Linked DNA regions of Ovis aries. The protein of the gene in region 6 interacts with the protein of the main gene of each other region in a pairwise test. Links are inferred from orthologs where the notes say so. Each region holds a gene or a part of one and is shown on either strand. Other genes may lie near its edges. The genes, in order: PNMA1, ZG16, SERPINI2, BPIFA1, TFF1, UBQLN1 and SCG2.

What was found.
Region 1: the proteins of UBQLN1 (region 6) and PNMA1 interact in binary tests that used the Homo sapiens proteins (3 or more experiments, as listed by UniProt). The two-hybrid records come from large-scale screens. The link is inferred for Ovis aries from reciprocal best matches to the Homo sapiens genes UBQLN1 and PNMA1.
Region 2: the proteins of UBQLN1 (region 6) and ZG16 interact in binary tests that used the Homo sapiens proteins (3 or more experiments, as listed by UniProt). The link is inferred for Ovis aries from reciprocal best matches to the Homo sapiens genes UBQLN1 and ZG16.
Region 3: the proteins of UBQLN1 (region 6) and SERPINI2 interact in binary tests that used the Homo sapiens proteins (3 or more experiments, as listed by UniProt). The link is inferred for Ovis aries from reciprocal best matches to the Homo sapiens genes UBQLN1 and SERPINI2.
Region 4: the proteins of UBQLN1 (region 6) and BPIFA1 interact in binary tests that used the Homo sapiens proteins (3 or more experiments, as listed by UniProt). The two-hybrid records come from large-scale screens. The link is inferred for Ovis aries from reciprocal best matches to the Homo sapiens genes UBQLN1 and BPIFA1.
Region 5: the proteins of UBQLN1 (region 6) and TFF1 interact in binary tests that used the Homo sapiens proteins (3 or more experiments, as listed by UniProt). The two-hybrid records come from large-scale screens. The link is inferred for Ovis aries from reciprocal best matches to the Homo sapiens genes UBQLN1 and TFF1.
Region 7: the proteins of UBQLN1 (region 6) and SCG2 interact in binary tests that used the Homo sapiens proteins (3 or more experiments, as listed by UniProt). The two-hybrid records come from large-scale screens. The link is inferred for Ovis aries from reciprocal best matches to the Homo sapiens genes UBQLN1 and SCG2.

What each region holds. Positions count from the first base shown.
Region 1 is NC_056060.1:83,213,155-83,217,491, forward strand, and holds PNMA1 (paraneoplastic antigen Ma1), read right to left. Parts: upstream 3,058-4,337; 5' UTR 2,243-3,057; coding exon 1,181-2,242; 3' UTR 399-1,180; downstream 1-398.
Region 2 is NC_056077.1:26,975,587-26,980,058, reverse strand, and holds ZG16 (zymogen granule membrane protein 16), read left to right. Parts: upstream 1-1,595; 5' UTR 1,596-1,621; exon of another isoform or gene 1,622-1,862; intron 1,863-2,648; 5' UTR 2,649-2,655; coding exon 2,656-2,710; intron 2,711-2,893; coding exon 2,894-3,026; intron 3,027-3,776; coding exon 3,777-4,092; 3' UTR 4,093-4,201; downstream 4,202-4,472. UniProt on the Homo sapiens protein: May play a role in protein trafficking. May act as a linker molecule between the submembranous matrix on the luminal side of zymogen granule membrane (ZGM) and aggregated secretory proteins during granule formation in the TGN.
Region 3 is NC_056054.1:220,632,464-220,636,277, forward strand, and holds part of SERPINI2 (serpin I2), read left to right. Parts: intron 1-478; coding exon 479-709; intron 710-2,130; coding exon 2,131-2,325; intron 2,326-2,410; coding exon 2,411-2,603; intron 2,604-3,814.
Region 4 is NC_056066.1:62,735,284-62,739,645, reverse strand, and holds the start of BPIFA1 (BPI fold-containing family A member 1 precursor), read right to left. Parts: upstream 2,911-4,362; 5' UTR 2,871-2,910; intron 2,017-2,870; 5' UTR 2,002-2,016; coding exon 1,842-2,001; intron 1,692-1,841; coding exon 1,532-1,691; intron 70-1,531; coding exon 1-69.
Region 5 is NC_056054.1:263,310,976-263,313,425, forward strand, and holds the end of TFF1 (trefoil factor 1), read right to left. Parts: intron 1,490-2,450; coding exon 1,346-1,489; intron 914-1,345; coding exon 900-913; 3' UTR 722-899; downstream 1-721. UniProt on the Homo sapiens protein: Stabilizer of the mucous gel overlying the gastrointestinal mucosa that provides a physical barrier against various noxious agents. May inhibit the growth of calcium oxalate crystals in urine.
Region 6 is NC_056055.1:36,050,210-36,054,689, reverse strand, and holds the start of UBQLN1 (ubiquilin-1), read right to left. Parts: upstream 2,854-4,480; coding exon 2,674-2,853; intron 1-2,673. UniProt on the Homo sapiens protein: Plays an important role in the regulation of different protein degradation mechanisms and pathways including ubiquitin-proteasome system (UPS), autophagy and endoplasmic reticulum-associated protein degradation (ERAD) pathway.
Region 7 is NC_056055.1:225,805,273-225,809,738, forward strand, and holds the start of SCG2 (secretogranin-2), read right to left. Parts: upstream 2,809-4,466; 5' UTR 2,735-2,808; intron 1-2,734. UniProt on the Homo sapiens protein: Neuroendocrine protein of the granin family that regulates the biogenesis of secretory granules.

The DNA.
Region 1 (4,337 bases), on a different chromosome or scaffold from region 6:
ATCAATTTTATACAAGTATGATGAGTTATTATTCCTGCAGTGAAACATTTTTAGTGGAAAAAAGATTTAAAATGGTGGGAGTTTGGGGGGGGGGCGGTGTGGGGGAAGCATTGCTCGATAACCTCCTAAACTCCATTTCAGGATTTTCTAACATTTTATAGTAAGTTAATATTTGTTATGTCTATTTTGCCTTCAAACACTTGTCTGGTAGAAAACATGCAAAAATTGAATATATTGAAAGGTACTGAAACTTTAAATTACATAGTATGATATAAAGCTTAAAGTAAAAGAACTGAGGTTTGGGGTTTTTTTCAGTGACATGGCGAAGTCTTCCGAAGAAGATCATAGAGCTTAATTACACTGAAAGTTTTCATACATGTCAGAAAAACAAGACAACAGAATTTTTAAAATATTTTTATTAATAAACATGTGCTTGATAACTTCAAATTTAGAACACTTAGAACCAGCATGAACAAGGTAAACTTCTTCAATGATAAAGATTTGAAATGGGGGAATAGATACTGAGCTGGTTCATATTAACCTCCCTGTTCTATTCGTATCTTGTTCAGTGAAAACTTGATTTACACAACTCTAAGTGCAGTATTTCTAACAACTCCTTTTGCAGCCTCAGAACACGTCTCAAACTGATCTAGATGTTTAAAGATGAAAAATGAGAAATTTGCACTGTAAAGTTGAATAATATCTAATTCACATTTCTTTCCATTAATATAAATCAGAAACAATTTACAGTAAACACAAAAACTACTCACAATAGTAGTAATAACAACAGTTCACATTTTTACTCAACACTTCTTGTGTGAGCCAGGCCGTGCACTAAAAACTTCTGAACATGCAATTTCACATTCAGTTACCTCTGGGAAGTGTCACGAGTTCCCATGGTTTTCACAACTGATGATGATGACGCCATGACAGCTTGCAGCACTGACAATTTGCACTGTCCAAGTCTCTCCCTGGCATTGTGGCTGACATGACTCATACTGCAGCAGCTCTGGTGCTGGCTTGCAAGCTTTTACCAATGTTAACGTGAATATGCAGGCCTGACTTACCCCAGAAAAACCACGCTAAGTCTTTACCACTAGGTGACATACCTGCAGGACAGCACAGAGACACGAAAAGCAGCTGTGATCTAGGTCTGCACTAAAGTCAGTTTTCTCGGGACTCAGAAGTGCCCCTCCAGGCCTAACTGCAAGAGGGCGGCTTCAGCCGCCTCCTCCTCTTCCTTGGCCTCCTCCTCACGGATCTGCACAAGCAACTGGAAGAGGTTAGGGGCCGGCCCTTCCGCAGCCCCAGTCAGCCATAGCTGCCTTCGGATGGCCCCGCTGTGGTTGGCCCCGGCAATGACTTGTTCCAGGCGGGCTTGGTTCACGTTATCTTTATCTATGGCTCCCTTCTCCACCACTTTCTGCAGCAGAGGCTCCAGACGAATGACATAAGCAGATAATTTTTCTCCCGGGTTCTGGTAAGTGTTCAGAAATCTGACCTGCACATCCCTGGAGCTCTCCACGCTTCCAAACACCTGCTCAAGCGCCTTCAGGCATTCGGCGGTGGTAATATCTGGGTTGTTGGTCTTGAGGATGCGGATGACATCAGCAGCAGGGCCTCGAAGACTCTCCATCAACCGCCGCCTCTTTTCTATATCAGACACCTGCCACTCCTCAATGACCTCATTAGCGTGCTCCAGCCAGGGCTCAAATGTCTCCTCCCCAGGCCCCGGGATGTCCCTCCCCGAGAACAACGTCAGCTTCTTGTACCATATGGATTCTATAAGAGGCTTAATAACATTATCCAAAATATAGTTTAGCATCTCTGCTGGCATATCTGGGCCTGGGGCCGGAGCGGGGTTCTCAAACCCAAGGACACGGGCAACATCTTGCACAGTCCATCCCTCTCGGGCTAGGAAGAGATGCAACCTTTCTAGAAATTCAGCGTCGGAAGTCGGAGGCTTAAAGACTACTTTCCAGACCCCTCCTTTACCCGGCATCTCCCTAGGGATGGCAGCGTAATCCACAGTTCCAGTGAGCTCTAACAAGGCTGCTTTGGCATTCTCTTCCCTCCAGAACATTCTCCCAAGCACTCGATAGTGCACCTGGGGCATCGCAGCCTGGAGGGTCTCTTCGATTTCAGCCTCATCGCAGTTCACCGGGATCCCCCAGACCAGCAGGGCTCTCTGGGAATTCACATCCATCCCTCTGCACCAGTCTTCCAACAGTGTCATCGCCATTTTCCCCAACTATCAAGAGCCCCTGATAGTTGGGTTATCAGGGGGTTAGATAAGTTAAGACTGTGGCTCCCTGTGCTAAAGGACTTAGGACGACAGCGGACACTCCCCTGCAATTTGCCCAAGGGAGTCAAGCTTCAAGCAATCACAATTAACAAACGACACCAGAGTCCAGCTCTCGTCCTTTCACTGCCTCCACCAACGTCCGTCCTCCGCGTCCTCGGAGCGAAACTTGGGGGATGCTCAGTCACGCGCCCAACGCCATCTCGTGTCTCCGGTCGGCGTCCGCGGGCCGGGTCCCGCACTTGCAGGCAGGGTGTCGTGTCTCCGCGCAGAGGCCCGGAGGGAAGGCAGGAGGAGAAGGCAGGAGACGCCGCGCTCTGAAGAGGCCGCCGGGGTGTGATCCCGGGGCGTGGCCGCCAGTTCTCCGCAGCCCAGGAGCCGACCACTCGCTGCTGCCCCTCCTGGCATCAACCCGGCTTCCGCGGTCAGAGCTCGGCCTTCAGGCGCGCGAGGAGCCGCTCCTCTGCAGACTGCGAACTGTGCCGTCCCTGCAGGGGGAGACTGTCCAGAGGTCGCAGCGAGGCCAGCCCAAGAGCGGCTTCTTCGCTGGCGCAGGTACACCTCTCTGGGCGGCGAGGACAGTCGGATACCCTGAGCACCAGCAGCCGAGGCGCGGGAAGGAGGCGGGAGCGAGGCTAGAGGCGGCGCCGGCGAAGGCAGGCCGCAGCGGCTGCGCGTGGGCTGCGGCGAGCTGACCCCGAACGGCGTTGAGGGGCTGCCGGCCTGACCGACCCGCAGCCAGCCCAGGCGTTACTGCCGCAGCGAGGGGCGGGGCCGGCCGACGAGTGGCTTTCGCCCCGCCCCCGCAGCCGAATCCTGCGCGAGCGTAGCCAAGGCAACGGCGGCCTGGAAGACTCCAGACCCTGACGCTCCGGCTGCCTGCGGTTGCCATGGTGCCAGCTAAGGGCCCGCGGAGCGTCCTCTGATGGCGCATGTCCTTTTTCATTTTCCAGATTTTTTTTCCTTTTTAAACAAAGCACTGTGTTTAAAAGTTTAATATAATTCTGGAGTGCATTGAAGATGATATGAGTCTGTCAAGAAAGACTTAACTCACGTCGCTCCTTCAACCAGTCCAGTTCAGTCGCTCAATCATGTCCGACTGTTTGCGACCCCATGGACTGCAGCACGCCAGGTCTCCTGGTCCATCACTAACTCCCAAAGTTTGCTGTTTAAAAACAGATGCAGTACCAGCCGATCGATCGCACTGTGCACCCTCCGCGAACTTCATTCCAATAAGACTAAAACGCTGGAAGTGTGCAGTGTTCTCCTGTCAGACACTGAGTTGAGCCTTTTTCTTCTAAAATTTTGTAAGATCTAGATCTATTAAGTAACCTTTGTAGCCAGGCAAACGCTAGTGTGTTATTTCCCCTGTCCTGGCATCACTGACAAAGGGCTGATAAAACAGAATGCTTATGGCTCAAAAATTTCAAGTAATTCCTTGCAAGCAAACCAAGGCCAATTTACGTCAATCCTAGATGGTGAAAATCTCCCCTAAAGGACACAGCATTCAACTATGAATTTTTAAAACCTTATTTAATAAAAGGTTTAAAGATACAGAAGAACATTCAAAAGTAAATAAGTTACATAGGTACATTACAATCACATCAGCAAGATTTTCTTTAGTGTGTTAATTTTTTTTTTTATAAAAAGCACACAAAAAATAAAATCTTCCGTCTGGTCTATCACAACTGTACAGCAAAAGAGGTAATATTTATATATATGTACACTATTTTAATATGTAACAGTCTTTTTAAAAAAGGGTGCCACAGGCAGCAAACACACAGAAGGCAGTGTCTGATTTTTTTTTCAAAATAAAAGGAATATACTTATTTATATGCTATTAAAATATTTGTACAATAATTACAGACTGTCAAGGCTGTTCCTGTGCTCTGTCCCCTCCAACAAGGCCTTCGACTGAGAGACAAATGAGGAAAAGGTGAAACAGCTGCAAATTGTTAGAGGCAAATATTAACACAGCAAAAATATGGGGAGGACATACAATTGTTTTATAAAAATATGCATACTTCCTGTAAAC
Region 2 (4,472 bases), on a different chromosome or scaffold from region 6:
CTGGAAGGAGATAAAAGTGGTCACCAGGATGCGCTTGTTTTGGACACGCAGAAGGTTGGAGAAGGGAGATCACACAGCCCTCCTAGATCTCGGAATCTCCCCACCAGGAGCCCCGCCCTACTTCCGGCTCCCCAGGGTGGGGCTCCTTTGTTTCCTGGGATGGGTCCTCAGCACCAGATGGTGAGCCTGTCCTCTGAATGCTGGGCTCCTGGTTATTAATAACCGAGGCTAATGGTTCCAGTCCCTCCCTGGCCTTTGTCCTTCTGACCTGTTGCCTCAGTGGGTGGGAGGGCCAGTCCTAGAGGGGTTCCAGAAGACAAGGGCTGGCAAAGAGAAGAAATCGATGACCCCAATTCTGGGAAGTTTCGGACCCACAGGAGGGAGTCATTGCCCTGGGCGGGCTACAGCACCAGGCAGATTCAGCTATGGTGTCAGAAGTCCTGAGGGCCCAGCACGGCCCCCAGGGCAGGTCCTGTCTGCTTTTACTTCCTCAGCTTCCCATTTGCCCACTAAACTGACTGTCTGTTCAGGGGAGGGGGATCTGCAGGTGTTGCCTCAAGTCGCTCTTCTCAGAGAGAAAAAGTTTGTGAAGCGGCTGACAGATTGATGATGGATGGTTGGAAGAAATAGAGAGTACAACAAAATATTAACCATGAGAGGATTTCCCTGGTGGCTTAGTGGTAAAGAATCCACTTGCCAGTGCAGAAGACATGGGTTCGATCCCTGATCCGGAAAGATCCTGCATGTCCCAGAGCAGGTAAGCCCGTGCGTTGTCACCACTACTGAGTCTGTGTTCTAGAACCTACGAGCCACGACTACCAAGCCCTCCTGCAGCAACTGCTGAAGCTCTCGCACCCTAGAGCCTGGGCCCTGCAAGAGAAGCCGCTGCAGTGAGAAGCCTGCACACTGCAACGAAAAATGGCCCCTGCTCCTCGCAACTAGAGAAGAGCCGGTGCAGCAACGAAGACCCAGCACAGCCAAACATAAATAAATAAAATTATGTTTTAATGAAGTAGAGCTTTGTTTCGTCTGACTCAATTTAATAAAAAAAATTAACCATGACAGAATCTACATGGTGAGCATACGGATGTTCTCTGTATATTCTTACAACTTTTCTACACTTTGAATTTTTTCATATAAAATATGAGAGGAGAGAAAAAAATTGCCCAGCAAATAGTATAAGGTGTTGGAAGTGTCATTCCTTTCCAAGAGAATCTATATTTCAAATGCCTGGAGAAGGCAATGTTTATCCTGAGAGATGGCAGATTGCAGGTAAGGACACCAGCAGAAACCACATAAAGGAGGGAGAACCCTGGATGACACCAGGTGATGAGCAGTGCTGCCTGCCCACAGCTGCTGGCCTTTCGGTTGGTGATATTTTCCCAAGTTTATTCTGCCTCTCCTGAGATCTAGGCCTTGGCCCAGAGTTGGCCCCACCCTGCCACCTGTAACCCTTGGGGTAGGATAAGTTCCAGACCCTGCCTGACAACTGATCCTAGGAGTCTGGTCATGTTTGCTCAGGAGGTGAGGTTCACACGATAAACAGCAGGGGGAGGGCTTGGACTTGGTATAAAAGATCTGGAAGTTTCTAGGGGAGCTATTTTGCACTTGAAACTGCCAGGTGAGGGGTGAAAGAGGTATTGGCTAGGGGGTGACGGGGATTCCTGGATCTGGGTTAGGGGAAAATTCAAGCTGAGCTGAAGATGAGACTCCCTATGAGCCGCAGGAAAGACCTGGGTGTCAACTAACCGGGGCATCTGAATCGGAGCTAGTCTTAGGTGTAAAGACGTCTGGATCTCAACTGTAGGGCTGGAGACACCTGGGATACACCCGTGGCCAGATTTGTGTTAGCAGAGAAAGAGGTATGACAAATAGACCAGGCACCTGGCATCTAATTTCTTAAGCTGATTCCAGCTCCTTCTCAAACTTCTTGGGCTATCCCATCTCCACCAGAACTGCTTGGATGGTGATGCTGGCTGTCTCTTCTATTACCGTGTTCACTCTCCAAGTGACAGATAAATGCTCTAAAATGCTCCTTTCTTTCCAATTTGAGAAAAGGCCCAACCTAGGAATTTAAACTATGCCCCAGATGCCCCACAAGCTGGGCCAATCTACCCCAGTCCGACTTCCTTTAAGCTTTTCTCAGACTCCTGGTTTGATGAACTCAACCATCTCTATAATTTGGAGATGTCCTCCACCTTTTTTTTTTTTGGCTTTGCCATGTGGCTTGTAGGTCTTAGTTCCCCAACCAGGGATGGAACCTGTTCTCCTTGCAGTGGAAGTGCGGAGTCCTAACCACTGGACCACCAGGGAAGTCCCTCACTTCTTTAGAAAATTCCTTTCCTGCTTTGTGCTAGGAGGGAACAGGGGTCGACACAGCTTAATCCAGATAGAAAGTCAGGAGGGAAAAGGAGGGTTGGTTGTAGCCAGACAGGGGAGACAGAGAGGGATTAAGGACACGTAAGATAGTATCTGTGATGAACAGGACTTGAGACTATGGGCAGTTCTTTCAAAGCTGAAGACTGAGTGGACAAGGTCTGCATTGAAGGACCAAGAACCCCAAGACTCAGCTGGAGGTCAGGGGAGCCTGGGTAAATGGCCTCCGAGGGGATAAGGGCAACTATTCACTCCCTTTCTTCTCACTCCAGCCCCAGGATGTGGACCACTGCTCTTCTCGCCCTACTTTGTGCCTCAGCCTCTGCCACAGAGAGTAAGTGAGAAGCCCGAATCCCAGGACTAGATCAGGGGAAGACAGCCGCCCGCGCTGCGGGCAGCCAAGGCTTTCAGAGGCTGACTTGGCGTGGTGGGAACTGAGCTGCGGGAGGAAGAGGGGTGATGTGGAGAAACTGAGCTCTCAGGGGATTTCTCCCCACAACTCCTCCTTTCCCTCCAGTTCAACCCAGGGCCTCCTCCTACAGTGGAGAATACGGAGGCGGGGGAGGAGAACGATTCTCCCAGTCTGGAAACCAGCTGGATGGCCCCATCACCGCCATTCGCATCCGAGTCAGCAGTTACTACATCGTAGGGTAAGCGTCTTCGAGATTCTGTGCTTTGGCGACCTTCTAGGATCTTACTAAGTTAGGAAGGTCTCAGTGACATGGGGTCGCACAGAGTCGGACACGACTAAAGCGACTTAGCAGCAGCAGCAGCAGTCACTTTGGGTCACAGCAGCAAGTCACAGGGATAACATGATACAGAAAAGTTATTAGATGACTTGGATTTGAGACCTGTGCTGCCAAAACCCCTAAGACTCCCACATGTGTGATCATGAGTAACTCATATACCCTAACCTCTGAGGGACCTGGGCATTGTCTAGTTTACCCCAACCCGAGGTTTAAATCCTGCCTGGCATCTTCCGTCTCTAACTGGATGCCTCTCCCCAAACGTGTGTCTTTCTGACATTGGAGCCTGGCACAGCATAAACAAGTTTCTCCCCTCATGGGGGCCTTTCAGATGTTGGGAAAAAAAAAAATCCCTTTTCTTCTTTCAAGTAGGGAGTAGGGTCCCAGTGGGAACGTAGACTCCAAAGGCAAGCTCTGATTTTCACTGTCTGGGTGATTCTGGGCAAGCTGTTTTCCCTCTGTGAGCCTGTTCATCAGCAAGATGAGGAGCTGAAGTTCCATGTATGACCTTCCAGGGCTCATCCAACCCTCACACTCTTCAGGGCTGTCATCTCCATCACCAGTCTGAAGGTCTCAGCCTGTAGGCCAACAGCTCCTGAATTCTGATCATCTTACTCAGTGTCTCCCTTCTTTCCCTCCTCACTCCACCCCTAGTCTCCAGGTGCGCTACGGTACGGTGTGGAGCGACTATGTGGGTGGCACCTCGGGAGACCTGGACGAGATCTTTCTTTACCCTGGAGAATCCATCGTTCAGGTGTCGGGAAAGTACAAGACCTACCTGAGAAAGCTGGTCTTTGTGACGGACAAGTTCCGCTTCCTGTCTTTCGGGACAGACAAAGGCACAAGTTTCAACGCTGTTCCTCTGTACCCCAACACTGTGCTACGATTCATCAGTGGCCGATCTGGCTCCCTTATTGATGCCATCGGCTTCCACTGGGACCTCTACCCCTCTGATTACGAGAGCTGCTGAGTTGCACAGCAACTCTACAATGGGGACTTGGGAACCCACTCACCACTAACCACCATCCACATGTCTCAATTTAAAAAAAACCAACAAACAATAAAAGGGCATGACTACAGCTAGTGGGATGCACCTCTTGACTCTGGGTAGGAATGTGTGAATCTCATTTCTGGCTACTTGTTGTGTGTTAGTCTGGGGAAGAGTGGGAGGAGGAGGGAGAGAGGTGAAAGAATCTTGAGCTTTTCTTCATAATTTATCAAGAGGAGATAAGGTCTTCCTTAGTGGTCCAGTGGTTAAGAGTCTGCCTGCCAATGCAAGAGACATTGGTTCGATGCCTGGTCTGGGAGGATCCCACATGTCGAGGAGCAACTGAACCCATTTGCCACAAC
Region 3 (3,814 bases), on a different chromosome or scaffold from region 6:
CAGTTCGTCATAAAAGAGCAATTCTTCCTTAAACTGAAATAAAAGTAGTATTGAAAAGGATTGCTCATCACTGTCCTACCCTCATCAACATTCATTAGTATTCCTCTTTCACAAATATCTCATGTTATGCATAGGATGAGATTCTAAAGATACCTGTCCAACAACTAAGAATGAGCTAAATTTGACTATAAAGAGGGAGTTTCTTTCAACCTTTTTGAATGCATATTCTCATTTTTGACAAATTTCAAATTTACATGGACAGTTTTTTTTTCCTGTAGGAGAGCTGGTTTCTCTACAAAATGCATATTCCACAAGGGATAAATGCTTAAAATATTTATACTAACTTAGAAAATGTCGTTAGTTGTACCTTAGGCTGCTAAAAAATGGTGATATGAATCAGAGTGCTTAGAAGTAAAGCCGAGAAGCTGTTGTTTTTATGTTGTTCAGTATGTCAGTATACATTATAATTATTTTTCAGGAGAAGAATTTTCTGAGCTGAAGTCATTTTTCTCTGCCATCTCAGAGAAAAAACAAGAATTTACATTTAATCTTGCCAATGCCCTCTACCTTCAAGAAGGATTCACTGTGAAAGAACAGTATCTCCATGGAAACAAGGAATTTTTTCAGAGTGCCATAAAGCTGGTGGATTTTCAGAATGCAAAGGCTTGTGCAGAGACAATAAGTAACTGGGTAGAAAGCAAAACAGATGGTAAAGTTTCCCATTTCCATAGAGTCATTATTTGCCATTGTATTCATGGTTTTTAATATACTAAAGTAAAGAATGATTGAATATTTTCCTATTAAATTATGGCTCAGAGGGATCAGTTCCTCTATTTTGCTTCCCTGTTATTCAAATTAACACTGAATTGTAAAATGGAGAGAAATTGTAAGCAGCTTTGAAAAGTATACAGATTTTTTTTTGGACAGGTAACCTGATTGAGAATTCTTACTGGAAGAATTTTAATAGTAATCTTTTATTAAAGTGTGTTTTTTTAAGTATGACAGCAGGAATAATATCTTTGGCCAGATAAGACTTAAATCTATCAATCTCAGATGCTTTCTTTCCCACATACACTGTAAATAATTAACACATATTAGTTGGATGTGTTAATGTTTCATAATAAACATTGATAGTTCTATCATAGAGTTGTAATCTAAACTTTTAAGTATAAGCTAGCAGAGATTCCAAAGGCACTACTGAGAGACATAGTAGAACACAAGTTTAAGCTCATACAGATCTGAGTTCAAATCCTGACAAGTTCTAAGCCATTCCCCATTTAAAATGAGGATACTATTATAATGTTTTAGGATTATTGAAAGATTAAAAAGAATGTGTGTGAAGAGACCAGTATATATCAGGCCCTCAATTAATAGCAACTTGTTTCTTCATTCATTCATTCTGCTATTTAAGCCGAAAAAATCTGTGATGTGTAAGATGAGACTCTGTTTTATATGGGGAGCCTCCGACGGAGAAGCATAAGTTGAAAATGTGAGATGGGTATTGTGAGCACTGTTCACAGGCAAGTACTATTACTGGGATACACATTAAGAGCATCTGTAGACAGTTCCATGGCACCTGATTATGCTGTTGACTCATAGCTTTGAAATACTCATTAGACATAAAAATCAGAGACTGATTTTTTAGAAGAGGAACATCACATTAGCAACTCCATTCTTATCCTTTCTGAATGGTCAATGGCTACAGATGCAACAGCAGAGAATTTGAGTGGACCACTAATTTATTAATTCTGATTGACTTGCTGAAGAATTTGAAATAGAGTTTGAAAAATAACAACAGATATGAAGAGATACTTGATTTTGTTCTTTCTGTCTGAAAAGCAATTTACACAAATGATTTCACCAAAGAGCAGCCATTGCTAAGTCTGTCTAAATTTATCTAAGATAATTCTGAATCTCCTGTTTCCTAATGAAGTCCTGTTTGTACCTGTTTCTTTGTCAATATTTAATAAATCTCCTCCTTAACTCTTCAAAAATTTCCAAGTTTAAATGATAAAACACCCTATTTTTAATTGGTTAGCAAGATAAATTTTTGTTTTAATTTAATTTAAAGCAGTTTTTTGAATCACTGTTGCCTGTTTCTTTCTGCCTCTTGCTCTATTCTCTCCCCAGGAAAAATTAAAGACATGTTTTCAGGGGAAGAATTTGGTCCTCTGACTCGGCTTGTTCTGGTGAATGCTATTTATTTCAAAGGGGATTGGAAACAGAAATTCAACAAAGAAGACACACAACTGATGAATTTCACTCTGAAAGATGGCACAGCAGTCAAAATTCCAATGATGAAAGCTCTTCTGAGAACGAAATACGGTAATATGAAAAAAAAAAAATCACACTCTAAAGGACAACTTTGGGAATTGCTAAGTATATTAATATTTTATTTTCTCTGTTTCAGGTTATTTTTCTGAATCCTCTATAAACTACCAGGTTTTGGAATTACCTTATAAAGGTGATGAGTTTAGTTTAATTATCATACTTCCTGCAGAACACGTGAACATAGAAGAAATGGAAAAGCTAATTACTGCTCCTCAAACCCTGCAATGGTTCTCTGAGATGCAAGAACAGGAAGTGGAAATAAGCCTTCCTAGGTTGGTAATGTCATTTTATCACTCTAGTTCTTATGTTTTCACTTATAGACGGATTTCAACAGCTGGCCGAAAGATAATTAATGTTTAAAAAGTCTATTGACAAAAATAAAATGAAAAACCCATTAGGAATTGTTACTCTACTTTATGGATACAAAGCAGGTCTGAACATTGCCAGCGCTGTTTTGCCATGAGGAGGATAGAATTTAAGTACTCAATATTCTCTGAAAGGAATGAAAAAATATGTCTTCAAAACAGAATGCTGGGATTAAAAAGAATTATTACTCTTTTTATTATACAAACTTATTTTTCTCTAACATTTTTTTCTCTGGTTGAAATTTAAAATATTTTAGCTTCTCTTGTGTTTAAGGAAAATAAAATTCCCAAGACACTTGTGATATTATACAGTTAAAAAATATGTTGTTACCTTTGATAGAGGGTGCTCTCTATTCAGTTCAGTTCAGTTCAGTGGCCCCGTTGTTTCTGACTCTTTGCGACCTCATGGACTACAGCATGCCAGGCTTCCCTGTCCATCACCAACCCCCAGAGCTTACTCAAACTCATGTCCATTGAGTCGGTGATTCCATCCAACCATCTCATTCTCTGTCGTCCCCTTCTCCTCTTGCCTTCAATCTTTCCCAGCAGCAAGGTCTTTTCCAGTGAGTCAGTTCTTCTCATCAGGTGGCCAAAGTATTGGAGTTTCAGCATCAACATCAGTCCTTCCAATGTATATTCAGGGTTGATTTCCTATAGGATTGACTGGTTGGGTCTCCTTGCAGTACAAGGGACTCTCAAGAGTCTTTTCCAACAGCACAGTTTAAAAACATCCATTCTTCGGCACTCAGCTTTCTTTACAGTCCAACTCTCATATCCATACATGACTACTGGAAAAATCATAGCTTTGACTAGATGGACCTTTGGTGGCAAAGTAATTGGTCGTAACTTTTCTTCCAAGGATCAAGCTTTTTTTTTAAATTTCATGATTGCAGTCACCATCTGCAGTGATTTTGGAGCCCCCCAAAATAAAGTTTCTCACTGTTTCCATTGTTTCCCCATCTATTTACCATGAAGTGATGGGACCAGATGTCATGATCTTAGTTTTCTGAGTGTTGAATTTTAAGCCAACTTTTTCACTCTCCTCTTTCACTTTCATCAAGAGGCTCTTTTGTTCCTCTTCACTTTCTGCCATAAGTGTGCTGTCATCTGCATATCTG
Region 4 (4,362 bases), on a different chromosome or scaffold from region 6:
TAGAGACGATGGCCATCAGGGCTCTGCACAAGGCCAAGTTCCAGCAGCTGAGGGTTAGTGATCTTCAAACTGCCCAGGGAGAAACATTGGAGTGAGAAACATTAACTCCTCTAGTCCTAAACTTAGAAACCACATCTAATCCCACCAGGAGCATCTCAGAGATGCAGCTACCCATAAGGTGGGATGGAGGAGATATGAGGAGAGTCTTGCAACAATAGCCACACGAGTTTTGAGTCTCGCATCAGTTTTTCCCATCCTCTGCACTGGGTCAGATCCCTCTGCTCACCTTAGGTCTATGAGGTTTTCCAAGATAAGAAACTGTGTCTCGGTTATGTTTGCATCCTGTACGCCAGCTCAGAGCCTTACAAAGAAAGGGGCTATTTTATAATGGCTGAGTTTGTGGACTAATGGGCAGGTGGGTGGATGAATATGGGGGTAGATGAATGGAAGAGAAAGTGGTTAGATGAAGGGCAGATGGTCAAGTGGATGTATGGGTGGGTAAGTGGGTGATGTCGGGGCAACTGAAGTAAGTCCTCCACATTTAAGAGTAGGGATCATGAATCTTGCTGAGCCCTTCAATGGCAGGTCAATCAATAAAGTTAATCATGAAGACAGAGGAGCAGGAAGCTGGGGAGAACCGAGAAAGGGGGGAAGTAAGCCTCTTCTCTGAGGCCTCTTCTCTCCTCTGAGCTAGCCTCTGTGTCAGATGATTTGCGTCTTCTCCAGTCCTTCTGACAGTTCTCTGTGGGTACCATGATCTTCATTTTACAGGTGGAGAAGCCAAGCCCAGAGAGACTGAGTACCTTGCCCCGGGTCACCCAGCAAGTGCATGATGGATACAGAAATCAGACTCAAGGCTGTCTGTCTGTCTGTCTGTCTTCAAGTCAGAGGCAAGCATCTGGGGGGAGGGGGGGGGCGGCTAGGATTCCTGGGAATGGATTTGATCCAGTTCTGTAAAGGACCCAGTCTTGCCAGCTCACTTTCCACTCTCGCTCTTTGTTAATTGGATTGTTCCATGGACATCACATGATGATGTCACTGAGGAGAATAGCTTACACTTTCTCGCTTACATCAAAAGCCATTGTGTTCACTAGTGAGGAGAGCAACTTAAGAAGGGATTCCACCGATGACGAGAACAAAATTATCATGGTGGAGTGGAAGAAGCCTTGGTTTTGGACTTGAGTCCGTTAGGATCAGAACCCGCACTCTGAGTCACTCTGGTGGTGTGGGCACAGGCCCGTTTCTGTGCCTCCACTTTTCTATGAAACTAGGCATCGTTAAATTGACCTCAGAGGACTATGGTGAGGGTTATAGACAATGCTGGAGATCCAAGCTGTGCTTCCGGACTGGGAGCAGTTGCTGGTTCAGAAGAGCTGCTGCTCCCTGCCAGACTGCGAGGGGGTCTCAGCCTGAGTCCTGGCCTCATGTTCTGATGACCCTGCTCCCTCCCCCAAGGCCACTGCCTGGGGCTGGCTGGTCTCCAGTGGGAGATCTCTGATGGGGTCCAAGGCCCTGTTTCAGGGCTACTCACTCAATGATGTCGTTCAGGAGAGGGGTGAGTGAAGTCACTTTCCCAAGCAGGCCCCCCAGTAGGCCACTGGGAGCATTCCCTCCGGTCTTCAGGATGTCCAAGAGCGGAAGGTTTTCGAGAATCCCCAACAGACCCTCAGAGAGCAGACCATTGCTGAGAGCTGGAAATGGGTGTGGGGTGCTTGGGGGTCAGATCTGACAATTATGGCTCCTCAGTCCTTACCCCCCTTTAGCCCCCTTCCCAACCATTAGATGATTGCGCACACACACCCACACACACGTGGAAGAAGTTGTCACAGACTCTTACTTACCACCTGTCAAGCTTCCAGCAAGATCTGTGGGACTCGGGGCCAGGGCTGGAGTCACAGCCAAGGGCAGATTCTGGTCGAGGGGCACGGGCAGGGCTTCTAGCAGGGCCGTGGTCTGGGCCAACAGCCCACAGAGGACAATGAGGCTCCCGATTTGAAACATCCTCTCACTTAGTATCTGCGGAAAGGACCACTGTGGCGCAGATACTAGAGAGGAACCCTTCCACTGCCTGCCCCCACCCCAGCACACCAGGAAGTGAACAGCAACAGCTGCCTCCCTTTTGCACCAGTCCCCTTCCCAGATGCCACCATCCTTCTCCAGGGCCTTCTTGGTAGTCAGTAAAGGTGTCGACAGCTGGAACTGGCTCCCACAATCTGGAGACACTTGGCTGCTTTGGGCAAAATCCCATCAACTGGCTGATTTGGCCAAAGAGCCATCATTGCTGCTGCCACAGGTCCAAAGAGCCAGCTGTGGCTTCCTTGAGAGGTAAACTTGGCTTGGGGCCTCTGAATCTCTTTTTGGCAACAGATCTTTTATGACTCCAATGGAAGCTAGGGCCCCTTGGTCCCAGAAAAATGCACCAAAATGTACAAAATTGGGTGGATTGTAGGAGGTTGCTGGACCATGGTCTGGATGCACAATGGAGCAAGCGTGTACACTGAGCAATGCACAATGGGAAACTCAAGATAAAACTCGTAGAGACTGGGATTTAGGGCAGGAGGAGCACGCCCATGAGAGAGCCCTAGCTCACGTGGAATTTGAGCAATGTACCTACAGCCACGTGCTCCCTATCACCATCAAATAGCCTGTTGCCAAAAGTCTCTGCATTAATGTCAATGGTCTCTTAGGGAGGCAGAGTGGACGGTTATCACCTTGCCCCCCCAGATGGCAAGCTTTGGCTCTCTTGCAAGACCCCCAAAGAGTGATCTGAAGTGCAGCCAGCCAGTGATGCCACAGTGTGGAGGCTAGCACCTCTGCCCGCCGAGGCAGTAGTGGTGGTGGTGGGGGAGGGTGGAATGCGCAAGTCTCACCTGGCTTCTCAGACGTTCTGGCAGCTGTCGTGGTCTCCTTGCTTTGCTGAGAAGGCAGCCTTTTTTATAGTGTGGAAATCAGGAAATGAGTGATGGAGAGATGGATTTATAGATGATTCAGAATTCGGCAATCTGTTGGTGTCTTTCAGGGCTCTCCAAAGTAAATAATTGCCAGTCACATTAGTAGGTGGAACCGTTAAGCTGTTTGATCGACAAGTTAAACAGAAAAATGAGATGCGGATGTTACTCAAGATTTCATGGTTTCGTGAGCGGGGGTGAGGCTGGGAACCCTTGCTCCAAGGTGACCTGAAGATTCTGTTTGGAGCACTGGGAGAGGCAACTGTTGGAGCCCTGGAAGGGACCTCAGTCTCATCGTTGTTTAACTCGTTGTCCGACTCTTTGCGACCCGCTGGACTATAGCCGGCCAGGCTCCTCTGTCCATGGGATTCTCCAGGCAAGAGTGCTGGAGTGGGGTGCCATTTCCTTTCCTTCTCCAGGGGATCTTCCTGCCCCAGGGATCGAGCCCACCTTTCTCACCTCTCCTTTGGCAGGTGGGTTCTTAGCCACTAGCACCACCAGTCTCGTTGCTGTTCATTTGCTCAGTCATCTCCAGCTCTTTGCAGCTCCACGGTCTGCAGCATCCAGGCTTCCCTGTCCTTCACCATCTCTCAGAGTTTGCTCAAACTCATGTCCATTGAGTTGGTGATGCCATCTGACCATCTCATCCTCTGTCGTCCCCTTCTCCTGCTTCCAGTCTTTCCCAGCATCAGAGTCTTATCCAATGAGTCGGCTCTTCGCATCAGGTGGCCAAAGTCTCATATCCAATGTAGAAAAAGGATCAAATTGTCTCTGATTTCCCTACACCTGGGACACCCCTCGATTCCAGGGTGGGGGTCTCCTGACTTCTGAATCCCAACTGCATGACAGTCACATGCTGGGAGTTAGACATCTTCACAGAACCCTGGAGGGAGGTGTTGCTGCTCCTCCTTTGCAGAGGTGGAGACTGAGGCCCAGTGGGGATGGGTGCCCAAGGACACAGAGAAGATGAGGGCAGAGTTAGTTGCTCCAGTGCTTACTCCTAGACAAATGTCTCTTTAAGTAACAAAATACAAACAAACTATAAGGGACTAAAAATAACTGCATGCGTCTACAGTTGGGGCAAATGATTGACAACAAGACATAAAAAGACCCCAAACCCAACTGCTACTTCTGAAAGGCTGAGAACCAAAACCAGGGTGGTGGTGGTCGGGAGCAAAAGCAGGGTACTGCTCATACCCCCTGCACCCAACACCACCAAAAGGGTGGGCAGACCACTTAAGCGCCTGTCCAGCCCAATGCCTGGACACACCCCCTACCCTCACCCCATAGAAGGAACCAGCGTGCCCCGCCTTGGGGAGGGAGCAAGGGAGCCTGTTTCTTATTTTCGCTTCCCCCTGCTGCTAGCAGGGGCCCCAATAAAGTCTCCCCTGAATTTATTGTCTGGCCTCTAGTC
Region 5 (2,450 bases), on a different chromosome or scaffold from region 6:
GAGCGGGACTGGCTGGGCTGAGCTCCCTGGAGCAGGGCTGACTGCCCAGGGTGGATGGGAGGTCGGGGGGGAGTTTTTCTTGTTCCCACTGAGCAAGTGGGGCTGGGGGCACCAGAGGCTACTCAGGCAGCACTGCCCACCTGGGTGGGGGCGTCTGCTCAGGTCCAGGCAGGTCCAATTGGCTCCCCTCCATCTTTCTTGTGTCGGTGACGAGGGATCACTGGGGACTCTCGACCCTTCCCTTTTGTCCTATTTTCCAACTCGGAGCTCAAGTTTGGGGAACCAGGTGGGTGGGGGAGTTTCCTCAAGGGGTCAACTCATGCCGTCCTCCTCAATTGTTTTTATTATGAGTATGTTCAGGCACTTTGCTGTGGGTTTTATCTCCTAAGTCAGTTTCCATGTGAGGGACATGAAGAAACTGCAAGGCAATTTTTGTTACCACAATGAATATGTAAAGAATGTGATTGAATTGGAGCCTGTTTCCATGATTTGACAAGGGCGTGGCTTCTCTGAGGCTTTTTAACCCGATGGCCTGGTGCACGGACCCCGATGACTGACATCCACCGAGACAACCTAACAATGTTACAAGCCGCGGTCTCTGGCCCAAGATAGCCCGAGTTAATGTGTAATCCACAGCGAGAACCCAGAGGCACAAGTATCGCATTTCTCTTTCAAAGAAAGGAAAATTGTTTACATTTTTATAAGAAGCGCAAGCAGAGAGGACCATTCATCTCTTTTAATTTTTAGGCTAATTTGGAATACAGAGAATCTGAGCAGTCAATCCAGGCAGGGAGTTCAGGTTCATAGGACCCCAAGACATCCGGCCAGCGATGGGGCTGAGCCCCTGGCACCAGGCAGACGTCCTTCTCACTCCAATGCCATTTCCACCAGAAAAGTATCTAAAACTCGCACTCTGCAAGGGTGAAGTGTCCAAGAGAAGAGATTAGTAAGAAAAAGCATTTTCTTTCACTTTTAAATAATCACAGAGAATTTACTTAAAAACATCACTGGGAAAATTCTTTAGAAAACAAGGATGGTCTTTGTATCATAATTGTCACCCTTTGCAAGCCCCCACCCCAGGTGAGCCACGAAGCATTACCAAGGACAGTTCCTCACAGATCCCTGATTAGACATGTGAAGAAAAGCCAGGAAGAGTAGGGTGCCCCACCAAACAGGTCTTTCAGCTCTTTCCATCCCCCAGCCCTGGATTCACACTGATTTAGGCAAAACTACATCTTCCTAGTCACCCCGAGGCCATTACTCTGGGTGAAAACACAGATGGCAACTTGAATTAGGGTTCCGTGGTCCCGTGTATTCAGACTCTGTGGTGTCGACAAGGCCCTACCTTCCTCCACGGGCGCAGTTTGGAAGCACCATGGGACTCCGCGGACAGTGCTGTCAAAGCAGCAGCCTTTATCTTTGCACTCCTTAGCCGTGATGCCGGGGTGACCGCAATTCGTTCTTTGATGGGGTTCCACCTGACACGTCTCTGAAAGAATATGGGCCACGAGGTGAAAGTAAGTCATGGGCTGACTCCTTCCCTATTATGACCCACCCTCCACGTTGCTTCCTTCCCCAGTTAAATCAGCCATCAGACGAGCAGCCCATGGAGACCCAGAGCTCACTTACTGGCGCGGAAACACTGAAACTCAGGAACAATGCAAGGTGTCCGAGATTCATAGACTTTGCACCCACCCAGGCAATTTACCCATTTGCTCATTAACGTCAATGAACAATTATTAAACTTTAGTCACTAGATGAGTAAATATCTGTTGAGCACTGTTTGTGGGTGCTAGAAACTGGAGCTAGCACGGGACACAGACAGGAATCTGTTTATCCCCTCAAAGATCAAGTTCACACCAGGCCACGTGCTGGGTAACAGGGACCTGGAAATTGAAAATAGAGAAGCTGTTGTTGAGAAGCTAACAGTCTGATGGAGAAGGAAGCCAAATAAACATACGAAACAGCATAATACAGCCAGCCACAGGGCAAGCCCAGCAGGGATGATTGATTACAGACTGAATAAAGTGAAGAGGGCTTCCTGTTGGAGGAGGTTGGCCAGGTAAGAACGAGGCAATGGTTATTCCAAGGAGAGAGAGAGCAGAGTGTTCAAAGGTGGCGCAGAAAGAGAGCAAGGTGTGTTCCAGGCAAGAGGGGGAGGCGGGTGGGGCGGTATGGGGAAGGCAGGCTGAGGGCTAGGAGTGGATGATTGCAGCTCTTGAGCAAAGGGAGCCACTCAGACACTCTAGCCAGGTTTGTGAGGCCATTGACCCAAGGCATAGAACATGCAGGGAAGATGGGCAGCAAGTGCCCACGTGATCTAGATGCAAGACCTGTGGGGTCTGGACTTGGGGCTCTGAGAAGGAGCACTGCTCAGATCTGGTAGTGGACAGATTGAGGCAGGGGCAGAAGAGTCTGAAGCCCCTTCTCTCTCTTGGGATGGGAATGGA
Region 6 (4,480 bases):
TCCCTCCCAGCATCAGAGTCTTTTCCAGTGAGTCAACTCTTCACATGAGGTGGCCAAAGTAATGGAGTTTCAGCTTTAGCATCATTCCTTCCAAAGAACACCCAAGACTGATCTCCTTGCGGTCCAAGGGACTCTCAGGAGTCTTCTCCAACACCACAGTTCAAAAGCATCAATTCTTCCGTGCTCAGCTTTCTTCACAGTCCAACTCTCACATCTATACATGACCACTGGAAAAACCATAGCCTTGACTAGACGGACCTTTGTTGGCAAAGCAATGTCTCTGCCTTTCAATATGCTATCTAGGTTGGTCATAACTTTTCTTTCAAGGAGTAACATAATAATGAGTCTCAAAACCTAAGCTGAATGAAAAAGCCTTACCCAACAGAGTGTATACCGTATACCATTTATGTGAAACTCTATATTTAACTTATATGCAGAGTACATCATGAGAAACGCTGGGCTGGAAGAAGCACAGGCTGGAATCAAGATTGCTGGTAGAAATATCAATAACCTCAGATATGCAGATGACACCACCCTTATGGCAGAAAGTGAAGAAGAACTAAAAAGCCTCTTGATGAAAGTGAAAGAGGAGAGTGAAAAGGCTGGCTTAAAGCTCAGCATTCGGAAAACTAAGATCATGGCATCTGGTCCCATCACTTCATGGGAAATAGATGGGGAAACAGCGGAAACAGTGTCAGACTTTATTTTTGGGGGCTCCAAAATCACTGCAGATGGTGACTGCAGCCATGAAATTAAAAGACGCTTGCTTACTCCTTGGAAGGAAAGTTATGACCAACCTAGATAGCACATTCAGAAGCAGACACCAGAAGACTTCGGATTACACAGGTGTATGTATTTGTGTAAACTCCTGGAATGGCAACCGACTGCATTTCACTGCAAGTCAAATTTACCTTCAAAAATTTTAAGTTGAAAACCTGAACTCAATGGTTCAGTTCAGTTGCTCGGTTGTACCCAACTCTTCGCGATCCCATGGACTGCAGCACGCTAGGCTTCTCTGTCCATCACCAACTCCCAAAGCTTACTCAAACATGTCCATTGAGTCCGAGATGCCATCCAACCATCTCATCCTCTTTCGTCCCCTTCTCCTCCCGCCCTAAATGTTTCCCAGCATGAGGGTCTTTTCAAATGAGTCAGTTCTTCGCGTCAGGTGTCTAAAGTATTGGAGTTTCAGCTTCAGCATCAGTCCTTCCAATGAATATTCAGGACTGATTTCCTTTAGGATGCACTGGTTGATCTCCTTGCTGTCCAAGGGACTCTAAAGAGTCTTCTCCAACACCACAGTTTAAAAGCGTAACATGTACTACTACTTGCAACTTGCTTTGAATTGCATCCAAAAAATAAAATTGACCAATAAATGATTAATTGTTTGATAAAGCAAATAAAGCAAGATGCTAAATGTAGGTGATGGACACATGATAGTTCACTGCACAATTATTCCAACTTTCCTGTATGCTGGAAAATACTTTAAAAATTAAGGGAGAATTTTATAGGAAAATTGAGAGACCAAAAAAATAGGGATTCAAAAGGTGGTCAAAGTTTCTACACATTCTTACTACTTGACAGAACACACCACCGTTCATAATCATATAAACAAATATCGCAATTATTTATTGTTCCTTCAGGGAAACTTACAGGTACGTTTCATTTTTGCTTCTTCATAAACTGTTCACACTGTCTTGGTATCTGCTGACCAACTGTCTGAGATCAATTCAGTAATTACGGAAATATTCTGGGACGTATATTTAACAAAAACTAAAATGATTTAAGTTCCTCAAGATCATTAATTAACGGCAATAACTGTATTCCTAAATAGATTTTAAGCGGTAAATTACTTTTAAATTTCCTCCATTAACTCCAGGTTCGTGCTCTTTCATCTGACTGCAATTGCTAACATGTGAATAACGTTGCTATTCCTCTAAAATCAAACAAAAACCTCCCCAACGACCGGCATCTAAAGAATGACAAATACACTTAGAAAAAAAAAAAAAAAACAGAACCAGCATGTCGTCAACGAAAGTCATCCACCTTTCTCCTTAAGCCTAGTTCTATTAAGATTTGGCTGAAAGCAATTTCTACGTCATAGCTCATTTTTTTCTTTAAAGACTGGAAGGTGGGAAAGATTTCAGCGGTCAAAACGCAGAACTAAATGCACACGTGCTCCTCATCCCAAAAATCTACTTTAATCCCCAGGCAGGTAAAACAATGAGCACCCCCTTTTTTTCTCCCCCCCTTCAAGAGACAAAACCGCAGACCGGGCTAAGCCAAACCCTCGCCCAGCCTCCACTCCGCCCGAGCCAGGCGGCGGGTCTCTTTCCTTTGTGCAGAGTCAGAGGGAGGCGGCTCGAGGCGGGGAGCTGAGGGAGGAGGCTGGGGTCGGCGGACGCCGGAGCAAGAGGAAGGCGCCGAGGAGAGCGGCATCGGCGAGCCCCATAAACAGGCCAAGAGGCCACGCCACAAACCTCTGCGGTGTCCCCAGGAGCAAACCCACAAACCTGGGTGTGATCTAATTTGGGATCAGACCCCGGAGAATGGCCGAGGGCACCTCCGGAGACGACCCCTTACCCTCAAGCCCCTGCAAAACAGTCTCCTCCTGCCGCTGGCGGAGGTCCTGCCGCCATCCCCACCCCGCCCCGAGCCTAGCGCGGCCCTCACCTGCTGGACGGAGCTGTTCTCGGGCACTGCGAACTCCTCCTTCTCCTTCGGGGTCTTCACGGTGACTTTCATGATCTTGGGTTCCGTGGAGGCGGTGGCGGCGGGGGCGCCGGCACCTTCGGCCGCGGCGGCGTTGTCCTGGGAACTTGGAGGGCCGCCGCTTTCACCATTCTCGGCCATGGCGGCGGCGGTGACTCAGGCGCAAAGGAGGGAGCGGGTGAGGGAGCGGGAGCCAGGCAACGCCAGAGCCGGCCTGGCCGGGCAGCGGAGAATGTGGGGCACGCTACCTCAGTGACAACTGGCTCAGGGCCGCCCTGGCGGGCGAGGAGCCGCGGAGCTTGGCGTGGGCTCCGGCGCAGGCCCGAGTCGGGCGCTCAGCAGCCGCTGTGTGTTCAGACGGCGATGAGTCGCAGCGACATCCGCAGCAGCCACTGCCACCGCCGCTTCCTCCTCCCCGCCCCTCCCCCTACGCCGCTCTGCCCGCGCCGCGCGGGGCACGCCGGGTAAGGCGGCTGGCGACGTCGCCGAGTCATGCCTGGCCGGCGCGGTTTGGTTCTCTGAGTGCTTTTCTTTCCCTCTCCTGCTCCATTGCTCAAAGCGTAGGTGCGTCCAGAGTGAAGGACTAAAAACAAAGTGGGGTGGAAGAGGTCAGTTCATTCCTTCTTATCTCTTTAACCAAAAAATAAATTGGGGGGGTTCTGGGAGGCACCGTTAAGGGCGCACGAGGATGACGTCACGGCTAGCGAAATTACTGGAAAGGAAGCTAGACCACCGGGCTCTGCGGCCGGAATTGCGCCTGCGCGATGGCAGGCCCGCTAGTTCCCCACCCTCTCACCTCACTCTGGCGGTTACGGTGCGCATCCCCTAGGAGCCTGAGCTTGCTTCACGGTGTACCCCACGGGGAGGAGGGTCTGGAACAAATGCCCGCGAGGGTTTTTTGTAGTTGATATTTAAATGTGCTTAAATTTCGCGTACTTTAAAAATTTTAAACGCTTGCTTTTACTACACGGTGCGCATGGACGGAGTACGCCCCTATCGCCCACCCTGCTCTATTCCGAGTAGTCAGTGCTCCGGGGCCAGAGCTTCCCATCCTGGTCAGCCAGGTTTGGTCAGGTGATCAGGCCTCCTATGTTGGCAATGGCGCGCTAGCCCACCTGTGATTCTCTGTGAATACTGTCCCGTGAGATGTTTAGGGCAGAAACATAGTATCCAAGGCATGCCCTCCCGGCTGGGACAGCACAGTGTAGCTGAGGTGTTCATTTTATATTCTATCAAATTAACTTACTGCTCTTTCAGCCTTTAGGTGACACAAAAGGTTCAAAAATTATTTTCAGTGTAATACATGTGTAAATAAGAAACAGGAAGTTAATTTTCCCCTAGAGAATATTAAACTGGAAATGACCTCATCACTTGCCTTTAAAGATGGCTTGCAAGAAATGTACAACACTGGGCATAAACTTTATAAACCAGTATTGCGCAAATGTAAACTTTGACACCACACCGTGACCCAGATGTGCAAAGATACACTTTATATTTCTGTTCTTAAACCGTCCAACTCTGTCCTGGCTCTTTTAAGTACTCTTTTATGAAGTCCACTTCTTAGCAAAGCCACTCTGAAATCTGGGTCTAAAGTTCTGAACGTGTAAATTGCTATAGCGACGTCATTTCATATCAGCGAAATTTCTGGCAGCATTTTTCAACAACATGAAGAAATTACACAGAGCTTTCTGCTAAAGAATGGCTGTTTACATATGTTTAGATGTGAAGTAATCATTACTCGTCAAGGTAGAAAGTTCCACCGTTGGAA
Region 7 (4,466 bases), about 190 Mb from region 6:
GCATGTACACACAGACTTATATCCTTATCAAAAACCATGTGGTTTAATTACTGACTTGTCCATCTAATTTGTTGTAGAAACATAACAAAAGTGACATTACTATATAAGATGAAGTGATATTCCACGTTAATGTTAATCATACTGAATTCTCTTGTGGATGAGTCTCATTCATATATATTTTCAGAAATAACTTGTCCTTTAGTCTGATACCAAATCATATTATTAATTTTGGAAGGTCTGTACCTTAATGACCTCCAGAATATAGGTCTTCTCAAGTCCAAGCTAGTTGGCAAACTTAACAAAGTTGTTTTTTTTTTAATATCCCCAAAGCAGTATTTATTTACTCAATGAATTCCAAAATATTGAATTTAGAAGTCTGGTATTTTATAATCACTCATCTTGATTGATGTAATAGCACACATGGTACTATCAGGATATACAAGCACAATAGTAAGAATTGCAAAAAAAAAAAAAAATCCACGATATCCAATGATATTTATTTCAGTGTAAATGTACCAATGTACCAAAATATAAACTGTTTTAAAACATCTGTGCCCCATATTTCTTCTAATAATTTTGCTGTGACTGTCTTGTAAAATGCAATCATGATTATATTTTCCTCAGCCCTCAAGAGATATAGTAAATAATAACAGATGCTACAAAGGGAACATAAGTTTTCTGAACCAGTCTATTTCCGAACTTGTAAGTGTTCAAATTCAGCTTGACTCTGTGTCTATTTGGGTGTGGACCTATGAAATCTCAAATGACTCATTCTGTTAGAAAATTTTAAAATAATCAGTATGTAATTCCCAGTTTAGGAAAATGCATACAGTGTATTGAATTCTTCCATTTAAAATTTTTCATTCACTCTTTTTCTTCAAGGCCTTATAGTCTCTTGTATGAATTAGCAAGAGGATTAGTTTTTACATGTTTTACATTTGGCATTGCTAACATTGAAATCTATTTTAATATGTGCAATTTTGTTACAAATAAAGTAAAGGAATTTTACAAGTTTGCTCATGATATCTTAACTCAATTATGGTTTTGTAATATATAAGTTAAGTTATTGGATATCATTACTGTTAGCTTAGACATCAATTGTAGAAAATATCATTGTTCACTAGATCATATTGGTATTTAAGTAATATTTTCAGTTTTTAGAATCTAAAAATGTTGTACTTACAGAAATTTCTTTAGTACAGACTTATTTATTAAAATGATTATTTAAATTAATTATTTAAATATACATTTATTTACATTAATTTGGCTACTTAATTTACTGAAGGGAAAATATTTAAAGGCATGTCAGAGGAAGATTCTAAAATACTTACTATGAATCAATGTTTACTAGAGCAAATTGTATATATAACTTATTAGCTTAAATAAAAGTACATAATGCATTCTTGTTTATATTATTTCAGGATTAGTTTAAATTTTAAAATCAACTTTCCACATTGGCATTTGGACTAGCAATTTTAAGAATCTTAGTATGTATTTTCTTTGAAACCATTACCCTGAAGTATCCTTAACCTAGTTATATGCTAGGTTATGTGATGATCTTTAAAATCATTATTTTGTAGGTGAACTTGGCTGTGGTGTTGGGGCAGAATATTCAGTGCAGTTATTTAAACCACAGGCGTAACAAGAGCTACCGTTTGGTCATTTACTCAGATTCAGTTTGGGTGACATTGTTATTGCCTTTGACTAAGACTCAAGGGATTTTTTTAGATAAGCTGATAGCAGCTCATCTAAATATTGAAGGTGGTTTGAACAGTTCTGATGTTCTATGTAGAGTTTGAACCAAAAAACCTCATAAGATAAAATGTCTTTTCTATTGAAATTATAGTAGAGCATTGACAAATGCAACTGGATGTATCAAATTTGAGCAATTCAATTAGTTAGGATACAGGAAAAAGAAACACTTGTCCCATTCAAAATATTTAGCAAGATGTTGTACAACCTCTTTCAACCAAAGCATAATAATAAATAATTTATATGGTTATAAATGTTTCCTCATACATTTCAGTTATTTCTTTGTAATCCATGGTCATATCCAACCTAAAACCCAAGATAATATTTCCCCCTGAAAAAATCGAAGAAGCTCATTCTAGTCTTACTCTGCTAGGACCAAAATTAGTAAACAATAATGTAAACCCTTTCAGAGTATACCAATTTAGAAAATAATTTTATACAGTTAGTTAAATTTGAGCTCTTGCAAAGTAAATGTCAAAGAAAAAACAAGCAAGCAAACAAACCTAGCTCCAAAATTGGTTGTTTCTATCACCGGAACCTGTTTAACAGCCTTTGAATCATCGGACACCTACTGTTAAGTATATTAAGTATATAAATTGTATCCCTGCCCTTGTATCTGGTCCTTAGGGGAAGAAACAATAAACTAAGGAAAGAAACCAAATGTCAGGCTTGGTTAACTTTACATTAATAATGTGTATTGACACAAATATCCTTAACTTTTTCATGTTCTTATATATGATTATCTAAATAACACAATGGTTAATAAATACCTGACAGCAAGCAGTGTAAATCACACACGCAATCATGCATATATATGTACATATATACAGTGTCCTTAGGTTGCCAGATGAGCAGCAGGTTGCCGTTCCGTTATTCTATAGATATAAGCTTGCCAAATGGTCCTTTTCTTCTTAGCTAGGAATTAAGGAGAGAATACGCAATTTAGAACTTTCCAGTAAGTAGAAGGGAAAAGCAGTGTTACCTCTTATTTATATGGCAGAGGAAGTCCACAGCATGTTCCTCCTGGTCCGCGGCTTGAGCTGCTCGGACAGTTTCAGCACCCGGACAGCTCCTCGGCTTATAGAGAGCCGCTGCGCCTGACTCCGCACTGCCACACTGACGTCACCCGCTCAGCCACAAACCGGAGCACAGGCGAGCTTTTTCAAAGAACCCGAGAGAAAATAATCACTTTATAGATTTTGAAAAAAAAAAAAAAAAAGTTGCATGCTTACGCCACCTGTCTTTCTGTGGCAAAAACTGCAGTTCCCTTTCTTTTAACAAAATCTTTGAGGCTCGAAATAAAATGTTCTGCACAATTTCCCTTAGAAAAATCCATCAGATAGACGTGGCTAATTGCAATATAACCTCATCTGTGTCCAAACAGCTTGTGATAAGGGTTTCCTGTTGCTATTGTTGTTATTGTCATCATTGTTAAAAGAAAGTTTTACAGATAAGGACTTTTTTTTTTTCCTTCAGTGTCCACAAAGAAATTACATTAACATTCCTCAGTATGCTTCAAGAGGAACAGAATACAGGTTATGAATATGAAGTCGTATTTCATATCATCACCACAAGTAGCATTGTTTTTAAAATCATGTTTATTTGAATAAAAAAGTGTCCTCTTTTTTTATGTGAGTCGACCTCAAGGCTCTAATGAATTAGGGTTTTAGTCTATGGTCTCAATATAATTTTGAAGTATGTATTTCTAAGGACTCGGGTCTAATAGTTGATAATTCTATATGAATCTGTTGGCATCTTTTACAACATCTGATCTCAAAAAGGGAAGCTCGGAAGTTGAGAATACTTTCAATAAGAAAAAGAAAAAAAAATTTTGCTGTTTGAGAAAAGTGTTACACATATGCAACTGTAATTGTTTGTAACTGAAAGGAAGTTATACTATAAATATTTTCTTCCTCCAGTTGAATCAGGTGAATTGAATACATTCCATAAATGTGACCAATTCAAGGAATAATATAGTATTAATACTTAACTTCCAACCTCTCAGACTTGTAGTCATAATCATTGCTGTGCTTTACCAGGTAACCTGATTATATAGTTTATAATTCATATAAGTCTAAATTTTTAACTTCATTTTATTAAAGATATTGTTTTTCTAAAAACCATATATTTTGAAATAAACAATGCAAAAGAATCTTGCTATATAAAAGATCCCTTTTGTCTCTGTTAAGTGAATAATTAGCCACTGATTTACTTACTCAGTATGTTGTAATGCCTACTAAGTGCTAGATACAAAGATGAATAGTATCTACATGTATATACGCATATATATCTGTTAGGTTGGCCAAAAATTTCATTTGGTCTTTCTATAAGATGTTATGAAACAAGCTGAACAACCAAGCTTTTTGGGCAACCCAATATATGTATTGGTCTAATGGGGATAAGAGACAAACAGATTATTTCTATTCTAGGATAAGAGACAACAGGTTATTTTTATTTGATATAAATTGGAAAGCACTAAGAAAGATGTCAGCCAGCAGACACAATAGGGAACATTGTTCAGTCTAGAAATCTTGAATGGGAAGGGTTCCGGGAAAAGAAGCCTGAGCTGAGGTTTCCATTATCAAGTTTTATTTAATGATTTCTAACTATTCTAGGTACACCACAATACTCTTAAACTCCTTGAGGAAACAGAAACAGTTTAAAACCTTAGGAAAAAAATAATCTTGGGGAAAGTAACCCTTGATTTTCTCTTT